2 linked regions of the Arabidopsis thaliana genome follow. The protein of the gene in region 1 purifies or fractionates together with the protein of each later gene. This does not show direct contact. Each region holds a gene or a part of one and is shown on either strand. Other genes may lie near its edges.

Region 1 (6,288 bases):
AGAAGAAGAAAGTCTTAGTAATGGGGAAATCTTGAAAAGCAGTCTCAAGAAGGAGGTCTTAGATTCAGCAGATGGTGGGAGAAAGGAGAAGAAGAAAGTACAGTGGGTGGATTTGATGGGGAAAGAACTTGCTGAGATCCGAGAATTCGAGTCTAGGTACTGTCTTCTATGAAGTTTGAATCTTTGTTTTTCTTAGGTTTCTTGGTATGAAGTTTGAATCTTTGATCAATTCAGGCTTCAAAAGATGCTAACTTTGAGAATTAGTTGATTGACATTTGTCTGAATCCCTGTTATATTTGCAGTGAAGAAGAAGATGTTAGATATGATGGCGATCAAAGCTGTGTTTGTGTTATTCTGTGATCAACTCGGCTTAGTTTTACCGGAAGATATGGCAATGGTGAAGGGTGAAGAAGCTTGCTTGAGAATTGGCTCTGTTCAGCTTGTGGCTTTGGATTTAGAATCCATCTACATTGAGGTACATATAGTAGAATCCACTTTTGCTCACCTGAGGTTATATGTCGATTGTCGATTCAGTGTTTACGGTTTTAGAGTTGTTAAAAGAATTGCTTTATATTACACTTGTTTACTTAACCAGTTAATGAAGTTCTTTCTTAGTCAGATTCAAGAAGCTTTTAAATTTAAAGTACACTTTTTGCATTCTATCTAAGTTCCCTCAGCTTTAGCATGTATATAAGATGGTGTTATTAAGAGCACTCAAGATTTTGAAGATCACTGACAAGTTATTCAAAATGATTTCAAATATGATATCTAGTGAACACATTATTCTCTGGTTCAAAAATCACTACACTTGCACAGAAAATTTGTTTGCAAGCTAAAGGAATCCGTATCCCAGTGAGCTACTCTCGCTTCGGAATTTTGCCTATCTCTCAGCTTTACGAGCAAACCTGGTCGGTCTATCTTAGTATCCATAACCTGAAACAAGACAATCGAGAAAGATTCAGTGATGAAGAAACATGAGTTTTGTTTTGATGTCACTGTCCAGTTTTTATGAATCAGAAGGTCTGGACTAACCTGAGTTGTCCATTGGGTTACCAGCAGGAACTGGCTCTGGCTCTGGGATCTCAACAACCACACAGTCAGACATCAAGAACGTCTTTGCAACTGAGGCGGCATGTTCTAAGCAACATCTCACAACCTGAAAACAAAAATCCACTCAGGTTCATTGGATATTTTGCGATCAGATGGGATAGCAAAACAGAGTGAGGGAGTGTATGTGAGAAACTGACCTTTGTCGGGTCGATGATGCCTGCAGCCATCAGGTCTTCATACTTGCCGGTTGCAGCATTGTATCCAAATTTCACATTATCGTTAGCCAGCACCTGCAATAAATAAATACAGCTTTTTAAGCAACTTACGTAGATCAAGAGCTGAATAAGCATGGATGTTCTTATGTTGTTATAACCTTCTCGCTGACAACACTTCCATTAACACCAGCATTCTTAGCTATCAATTTCAGAGGGTAACTCAGTGCTCTTTTAACAATTTCCGCTCCAACCTAGAGATGGGAAATAGTTGAAAATGCAGTAAGAGCAAGCAATTTGCAAAAAATTTCAAAATTCTTGATTTTGCCAATCACCTTTTCTTCATCATTTTCAAGGGTATCCTTGATGGCATCGACCTTTGATGCAAGCCGGAGCAGAGTGCAACCACCACCAACGACAATACCTTCCTCAACAGCAGCCTGAAACTCAATGAGGTCATATAATTAAGATATACATGAGTAGCACGATACCTATAACCCCATCAGCTGGATAAAGAAAATCACCTTTGTAGCATTAAGAGCATCTTCCACTCTCAGCTTCTTTTCTTTGAGCTCTGTCTCAGTTTGAGCTCCAACCTTTAACCAAGATGTAAAAACTTTAATTAGATCACTTAACTTATTCTTCTATCATACAAATCCAAGAAAGTCCATGTGATTACTATTTTACCTGAATTACAGCAACTCCACCAGAGAGCTTCGCAATTCTCTCATTTAATTTTTCCTTCTCGTAGTCTTGCTCCGCTTGCTGCACAACCGCAGTTGTATTAGCATAAACAAACTTTATACAAAAAAAAGTAGCTGTCACAGACTCTTATGCGGTTTGACTCAAACATATACCTCAATAAGATTCCTAATCTGTACAACACGCTTGTTCACTGCTTCTTGTGTGGTCCCATCACCCACAATTGTTGTCATTTCCTTTGTCAGGACAACCTTGGAAGCGTTACCCAGAACCTCTTTTCCAGCTTTGTCAAGAGAAAGACCAACTTCCTCTCTGATCACAGTTGCTGCACACAAAAACAGAAGCAACACGGTAAGGTTTTAACAGCCAAATGATTCCAAATCAGGAGGGCACATTGATTGATACCCACATATAGGTTTTTTGTTATAAAAACATGACCTACCTCCAGTTAGAATGGCAATATCGTCAAGGTATTGGCTCTTGCGCTCTCCAAATCCAGGAGCTTTGAGAGCTGCAATCTTCAGTGTGCCTCTAAGCTTGTTAACAACAAGAGTAGCTAAGGCTTCTTGTTCAATATCTTCTGCAATTATGAGGATTGGGTATCCGCCTCTAATCGCATCCTCTAGAACCCCAACAAGATCCCTTGCATTGGTTACTTTCTTGTCAACAAGAAGCAACTGCACAGTAGAAACTTGTTAGGCTATTTGCATCACAATATCATTTTGGTAGCTCAGAATAAAGAAAAATTACCTTGCAATTGTCATACTCAACAGACATTTTCTCACTGTCTGTCACAAAGTATGGGGAGATATAACCACGGTCAAATTGCATTCCTTCCACAACATAAAGGTTGTTCTCAGCGCTTTTTCCCTCCTCCAGGGTCACCACACCCTTCCTGCCCACTTTGCTCATTGCTTCAGCAATCATACTTCCAACTTCGTGGTTATTACCCGCACTAACAGCTGCCACATCAGCAAGTTCACTGTCTTCAACCTATATTTCCAATGACATAACCTTTAGACCATCTTGCTATAGACTCTCGAAAAATTAAGAAGAAGGAAGTTTTAGCATAATAGTTACTTACCTCCTTAGACATAAGTTTCAGCTCGTTAACCAAAGCCTTTGCAGTCTTCTCAATCCCCCTAGTGATCAATACAGGGTTCGCACCTGCAGCCACCACCTGAAAAATACAAAATTTCAGATTAATATACTGTTCTTCTGAGTATAAAATCAGAGAAAGCTGAAAGAAGAATGTAACAACCTTGACACCCTCAGCAATAAAACCTTGTGCAAGAACAACAGATGTTGTTGTACCGTCACCAGCCAAGTCATTGGTCTTTGCAGCTGCTTGCCTTACAAGCTTTGCACCAATGTTCTCAACCGGGTCCTCCAACTCGACCTAAGCAGAAGAAAACCTTAAGCTTAGAGAAGTAATTAAAAACGAAAGGAACATAATTGGTTAAACAGACAATAAATTTCATACCTCCCTCGCAACAGTGACACCATCATTAACAATTCTTGGGGATCCATACTTGCTCTCAAGAACAACATTTCTCCCTTTTGGTCCAAGTGTGACACCAACAAGGTCCGCGAGCTTGTTAACACCAGTCTAATAACAAACGAGTAATCAGAAACCAAAAATAAAACGAATCCTAATCATTACTCCAGAAAATCAATTCATTAATTCTCACCTGAAGTTTCCTTATGGTAGTCCCATCCTTATTGAAATGCAACTCCTTGGCTGCACATACTATGGCAGGACGGGATCTTCTGACGCACACGTTATGTCTCCTTCCAAACGAGCTTGAAGAGATGCTAGTCGCAGAAGACAACTTGATAGCATTGGGAGCAAGCAACGAACCAAGGGAAGACGTGGCAGTGAATGTCGATGCCATTTTCACTTCTCAAACACTGAAAATCAATCCAACAGTTCACATAAAACGAAAGATTCACCAAAAGTACTAACCAATTAAAACTGGCAACAAAAAACAAAAAACAGATGAATTTCAAAATCAGAGCTCAATCCCCAAATACTCAAAACCACAACTACACCAATAGCCACAAATCTCCGGGAACACGAAAACAAGGTAACATACTTTTTCTCAGCTACTAGTAATACTTGTTAATTCCAATTCTAACAAAACAATCAATCGACACACACAATTACATAGGCGCCAACATTGTGAGCTCAATTGATGGGAAAAGTGACACTCACCGGACGGTGGAACGACGGAGGTGAGGAGAGAGATGGCGCCGAAGAGGTTTATTCCGGATAAGGAGGAAGAAGTAGGTTTCTCCAATGACGAAATGAAGAATGCACTTGCTACTGATAATTTTTTCTTTGAATATAAAGGCGATATGAGCCTTTAGCTCTTGAAACTTCGAGCTAATCTTAGCCGTTGGATGTACTCTTCATTGTTTTCTCATTAGAACTCTCTAGAACGTCGGATGGGTAATCGGATCATGGGTTTATTTCCGGTGGCCTTGTTTGGTGATTTGGGCCTGTTTATGAATCTTTAATCAAATAGGCCCATTACATACTCTCGATCTTAAAATGTTTTTATTTAATAATAGCTTTTTTAAGCTAAGGTAATTTACTTCCTTTTATCCTAAAGGTAAAGTATATTTTCTTGAATAGCTAGTTTTGGTAAGTTTCTCTGAAAAATAGATTTTACTTTCTTTGGTTTTATCTTAATGATTTGCTTTTAGTTTTTAAATAGTTGCTCAAAACAAAAAAGTTTAATATATATTTTTAAAGATATTTCAATGTATATTGGGGTAAATTTATAGAAGAAACACACCTATAATAGAAAGCATGCCCTCTTTTGCTTTTAAATTTGACCAAATTTACTTTTGAATTATATTTTGGTAACAGAATTGAGATTTATATCTATTTTATTACAAGATTACCAATTTTAAGAAAATGGAAAAGTATATTATCCAGATTTTGCAGGAAAAATAACCAAAACCACACGGTCTATAGTCTTCTTTTAAAACAAAAGAGGAAATATCTTAAGGTGGAAGAAAAAAAAAAAAAAAGAAAGAAAAAAAAAAGAGAGAAGGTGAGGTGGTTGATTAGTGGATCTATTTGAATCAGAGGGAGAGGTAGAGAGACAAAACCCTTTTTTTCCTCTTCCCCGAAGCAAAACCCTTCTCCTTCTTGGCGGCTGCGGCCATTTTTTTCTTCTTTCTCTCTTCTATTCTATCTCTTAAACCCTAGATTTGATCTGGGTTTTTCCTGATTCCATTTAGGGTTTCTCTATCTTCTTTTTTTTCTTCTTCTTCTTCTTTCTCTTTGGTCGCATCCCCTTTTATCCGAGAAGGATCTATCCAAATCTTTGTTTGTCGAATCTCCTCTCATGGCTACCGTTGCTCCTCCTGCTGATCGTATCCTTTCTTTATGTTTCTCGATCTGTGTTTTGATTTCTCGATCTTGAATCTGTTGGATCTTGAATCCAGTGAGCTGATTTTGAGTCTTGTTCAGATATATTTGATATTGCCTAGATTCAGTTTCGGGTTTCTCAATATATTTCTCGATTGTTAGGTTTCTATATTGATTCAAATCGATTCATTTGTGGCGAGTTTGATTGATTTGAGAATGTTTGCTTTCCACTATTCTAATGGTTAATTGTGTAATTCTTTGCTTCCTTGACTCACCTTGTTTGTAGAAGCTACAGATCTGTTGCAGAAACTATCCTTGGACTCGCCAGCAAAAGCTTCAGAGATCCCTGAGCCTAACAAGAAGGTGATTTGCAGATTGAATTTTGGTTTTCTGTTGTCACAACTTTTGCTTCTTCCAGTTTTTTTTAACGCTTTTGTTTTGTGTCTTGTGTAGACTGCCGTCTACCAGTATGGAGGCGTTGATGTTCATGGTCAAGTTCCTTCTTATGATCGATCTTTGACACCAATGCTTCCCAGTGATGCTGCTGACCCTTCAGTTTGCTATGTTCCTAATCCTTACAATCCCTACCAGTATTACAATGGTAGCTTCATCCTCAAATCATTTACAATCTAGAAACATTATTTCACTAAATTGTCACCACTGGTTTAACAAGTTTTTCGTTTTGTAACTTTTCAGTATATGGGAGTGGTCAAGAGTGGACTGACTACCCAGCTTACACAAATCCTGAGGGTGTTGACATGAATTCTGTAAGTGTGTGCTGACTAGTTATAATAGTGCCTTTCATCGTCTTTATATTTTCTTTGCTTAACAGGTTCAATATTTTACCAGGGAATTTATGGAGAGAATGGGACTGTTGTGTATCCTCAGGGTTATGGGTATGCAGCGTATCCTTACTCGCCAGCAACTAGCCCTGCTCCACAG
Region 2 (4,461 bases), on another chromosome or scaffold:
AGTTAGTAATTAATTAGATGCTTTTTTTGTCATTAGATGCTTGAATCAGGAAAACTTACAAAATTGAAAACAAATCTAGAAAGTAATTATAAGTGAAAACATATAAAAACGTTATAAATCATAGTATATGCTAACTTTAACTAATCTATATAATAAATAAATTAAAATTTTGAAAACAAATCATCAAATATCAAATAAAGAATAATTCTTGGGTTCACTTCTAGGGGGTGAACCTAATTTATTCACCCCCTCTTTAATAACAAATCAATATTTGCCATGTTATTTGATTAAAAAAACTTAAAACAATTAATATTATCAAAATAAAATAATTAAAATAAATCATTAAAACCCCACTTTTTTGTAAATCCAAACCGATATATAATCTCGTTTAATTACCAAATCTAAGCCCTAATTCTCCTTTATAAACCCAAACCGCCATTTAGACTTATTTAATCGTTAAAAAACAAACCATAATCGTATTTTCTAAACCCAAACCGACATTTAACCTAGTTTAATTGTAAAATCTAAATATGTTTATAAGCCCAAACTAATATTTAACATCGTATAATCATAAAATCTAAACCCTAATCGTATTTTGTAAACCCAAACCGATATTTAACCTCGTTTAATCATAAAATCTAAACTCTCATTTTTTCTAATAAACTCAAACCGATACATAATTTTCTTTTAGTGGCAAATTAGATTTAATAGTTAAATTAATTTTTTATTATTATTACTAGTTTGTTAGTTGGGTTTAAAAGTTTCATCAAAGGAGATTTCATAATTGAATAAGGTAAGTGACGATTTTAAAATAGCTTGTTTTTAGAAGTTTTTCGTTCTAGGTTTGTTCTTATTGCATGTAGCTAGTTAGCGTCATGAACTAGTAACTGATCTTAGGGAGATAAAACCACAAAAGTGCTGAATTTATTTACTTGATCTAACATACATAGACTAGAAACTACGTTATAACAATACAAAAGCTTAGTTGTAGAGCTTTGTTTGTGGAGGTAAAGGAACTTGATCTCATTGGGTGATTGATTTTGTGGCTACAACAAAAATCTGAGTAGTTAAGTTTTTATCGATGCTACAAAATTCAATCCCCTAGTCATCTGTGATTCCAGTTTAAGGAACTTGAGCTAAACTGAATATGCTTTTGTTAATCTTCTTGTATGAGACAATATGAACTTTCGCGATATTCTTAAAGACTCAACGATTAATTATCATACAGTTGATAATAATAGTCGAAAATAACAATCGTTACCAATCCACTTCTATATTATGTATAAAATGATTAAAACTATATTATAAAACAAATAATAATTCAAATTTAAATAAATATTTAAAAATCAAAATTCTATTAGTGTTGTACAAGCACATGTTATGATCTACTTCATCACTATATTCGTCAAAACTAAAAATGTATGACTTTTCAGCTGTCATAAAAGTTTAGAAATATACAATAAATTAATTTTAAGATATCAATTTTAAAAATGATAAATGTTCTAAAATTTTAAATAGGATCAATCACAGAGACTTTTTTTTTGTAACAATTCAAATTATATGATTACTAATAACAAAATCGCAAAGTTTTATATTTATAAAATTAATTCATTTTTATTTAGTTTCAAATAATATACAAGAATATTCAAGCTAGTGTGCTCTGTTTTGTCTAATGTTTTTTTTTTTACTGAGAACTATTGACCAAACTCTTTTGTACATATTTAAAGATTCTTAAACAATTTCACATTTCATCAAAAAAAAAAAAAAGAATATACAAGGATTATCCTGTATAAAAACATAGGCCTAAAGTCTGTATAAAACATATGCCTAAAGTCTTAGCCCAATAAGCTAGATACCGAGCCAATACAAAGCCCAGAATTTAATAGAAGCCCATTAAATCGAGAGAGAGATCGAGAGCATCCATGGCTTGAAGGAAAAGAAAAGTTTTGTTTCTGAACTTTCGTCTCTATAAACCCTTTCGACGACGAGTGAAGAAGAAAGCGAGACGAAGAAGCAAAGATGTTCAGAAACCAATACGACACAGATGTTACGACATGGAGTCCAACAGGTCGTTTATTCCAAGTGGAATACGCCATGGAAGCAGTGAAGCAAGGATCTGCAGCAATTGGACTCAGATCTCGTTCTCATGTCGTTCTCGCTTGTGTTAACAAAGCTCAATCGGAGCTTTCTTCGCATCAGAGGAAGATCTTTAAAGTCGATGACCATATCGGTGTTGCAATCGCTGGTCTCACAGCCGACGGTCGTGTATTGTCTCGGTATATGAGATCGGAATCGATTAATCACTCTTTTACTTATGAGTCTCCTCTTCCTGTTGGTCGTCTCGTTGTTCATCTTGCTGATAAAGCTCAGGTTAGGCTTTTGTAGTTTGTTGATTGAGATTTGGTGGAATTTGGAATCGATTACGCTTGGTTTTGTGTGATTCGGTGATAAGTGTGTTGTAATTGTTAATTGAAATTTGAGGAATTTGGAATTCGATTACACTGTGAATCACTGAGCTCAAATTTAGCCATTAGCTTCTTGACTTTGTGCTTAGGGTTTGATCTGAGCTGATTAGGATTCTAAATTGCATTAAATAAGAGTTTTCTTAATTTATCATAGCAGAAACTTGAATCTTGTTTAGTGAAATTGTTTGCATGTTTGTTGTTACTGCTGCATAATCTTGTATTTAAAAGTTTAACCATAACTAAGAGCTTAACAATAGGATTCTAAAAGAAAGAGATTTGTGTTTCTTCTGGTGCTTTTGCTTGTTTCTGCAGTTTTTATTTGGAGTTATTGATTTTCAGTACCTCTAAGAAGTGAATTCCGCTCTTTGTTTTGCATCGTTCTCACCACTATGCACTTATCTTACCAGTCAATTACTCCTGCTAGGTGCTTGTTCGACATCTTTTCTGTAATTATGTGCTACTTCTCACTTTGTTTTTCCACCTATCTAATGGTTTCTTAAGTTAGCTGTTTTATCCACATCTGCATAAATACTTTTCAAAGCCATTGGGAAGAGCTCCCATATATTATATGTGTTTATAAAAGGAAGGGTCTTGTATTTCCTCATTGTCAAACTTTATTAGTTGGTTTACTCTTTTGTAGGAGAGATTTTACTTGACAGGTCCAACTTAAGTTACATTATTGTCATATTTCTTGTCTTTACCAAGGGTTTTTTTTGTTATATTTCTTGATCTGGAAAAGGAAATATTTATGTGTATGTTTGCCTTTATGAACAGGTCTGTACCCAACGATCATGGAAACGACCCTATGGTGTTGGTTTGCTGGTAGGTGGATTGGATGAGTCTGGAGCCCACCTTTACTACAACTGTCCCAGCGGAAACTACTTCGAGTACCAAGCTTTTGCTATTGGATCCCGTTCCCAAGCAGCAAAGACCTATCTGGAACGCAGGTTTGAGAGCTTTGGGGATTCTTCTAGAGAAGATCTGATCAAAGATGCTATTTTGGCTGTTAGGGAGACATTGCAAGGGGAAACACTGAAGAGTTCTCTCTGCACAGTCGCTATTCTAGGAGTCGATGAACCGTTCCACTTCCTGGACCAGGAAGCAATACAGAAAGTGATCGACACATTTGAGAAAGTGCCAGAGGAAGAGGAAGGAGAAGGCGAGGCTGGTGAGGGTGAGGCCGAAGCTGCCGAGGCTGCACCAGCAGAACGAGGTGGTGGTGTTGCAGGTGACCAAGACGTGGCTCCAATGGAAATGTAAGGCTTGTGTGTGTAACGCTGGAACTATTTTATTTCGATGTTAGTTGGATTTTTACTTTGCAAAATGGCTGCGGGTTTAGATTATATGCTTGAGAAGTTGAAACCATTTCGTCATTTAAACTCAATAGCTGCCATCAAGACTTTCTCGTATTCTGGTCTTTTGGTTTAAATCTGAAATCTGTTCACGACTTCCTATCTCTTTGGTTCTGCAATTCCTTGCTAAAAAAGTGTGTAGTGTCATCTAACTAGGGCTGTCAAGCAGGCCAAGCCAGCCTTGTTAGGCCTGCCCTGCAGAGGGTTTTAACAAAAAAATTGACCAGCCTCAAGTTTCCTTCGAAGGTTAATCTAAAATTTGTTAACCCAAAGAACTCCAGAATTTAATGTTAAATCGTAAATTATGATAAAATCATTAGCTCGACGTCATTTAGTCTAATAGAAAACATAAGTGGCCCCCTACATGGTGACGACTACGAAAGACTTTGGATAATGGGAACCATGTAAACCAGACCCATTGACTTTGCCGTCTCTCTTAATCATTTGCTTTATCCAGCATCCGTTCTCGTATATACACCAAATTAACCATCAAAGGAAAAAAAAATGATCAAGAGTTTATCATTGCATCTAAGAGCTAGTGGATCATATAAAATTGAATTAACAACGAACAGTCATGTTTTCGGTGTCAAAAGACATTGTGAATTAAACATACGAAACTACGTCAAATCGTTTAAGGCAATTGG

Evidence for each region. The genes of interacting proteins can lie anywhere in the genome.
Region 2: the proteins of Cpn60beta2 (region 1) and PAF1 fractionate together in Arabidopsis thaliana (co-fractionation; one large-scale study listed by BioGRID). This does not show direct contact.

Annotation. Positions count from the first base shown.
Region 1 is NC_003074.8:4,387,256-4,393,543, reverse strand, and holds Cpn60beta2 (TCP-1/cpn60 chaperonin family protein), read right to left. Parts: upstream 4,330-6,288; 5' UTR 4,180-4,329; intron 3,876-4,179; 5' UTR 3,860-3,875; coding exon 3,656-3,859; intron 3,574-3,655; coding exon 3,448-3,573; intron 3,364-3,447; coding exon 3,226-3,363; intron 3,145-3,225; coding exon 3,049-3,144; intron 2,958-3,048; coding exon 2,715-2,957; intron 2,642-2,714; coding exon 2,407-2,641; intron 2,290-2,406; coding exon 2,120-2,289; intron 2,028-2,119; coding exon 1,950-2,027; intron 1,859-1,949; coding exon 1,787-1,858; intron 1,703-1,786; coding exon 1,598-1,702; intron 1,517-1,597; coding exon 1,424-1,516; intron 1,341-1,423; coding exon 1,248-1,340; intron 1,157-1,247; coding exon 1,033-1,156; intron 934-1,032; coding exon 920-933; 3' UTR 529-919; downstream 1-528. Other genes in the region: AT3G13480 (nuclear polyadenylated RNA-binding protein), read left to right, coding at 1-156, 303-360; ECT2 (evolutionarily conserved C-terminal region 2), read left to right, coding at 5,324-5,351, 5,633-5,709, 5,800-5,947, 6,043-6,113, 6,196-6,288.
Region 2 is NC_003076.8:17,158,534-17,162,994, reverse strand, and holds PAF1 (proteasome alpha subunit F1), read left to right. Parts: upstream 1-1,838; 5' UTR 1,839-2,019; coding exon 2,020-2,370; intron 2,371-3,239; coding exon 3,240-3,725; 3' UTR 3,726-3,951; downstream 3,952-4,461.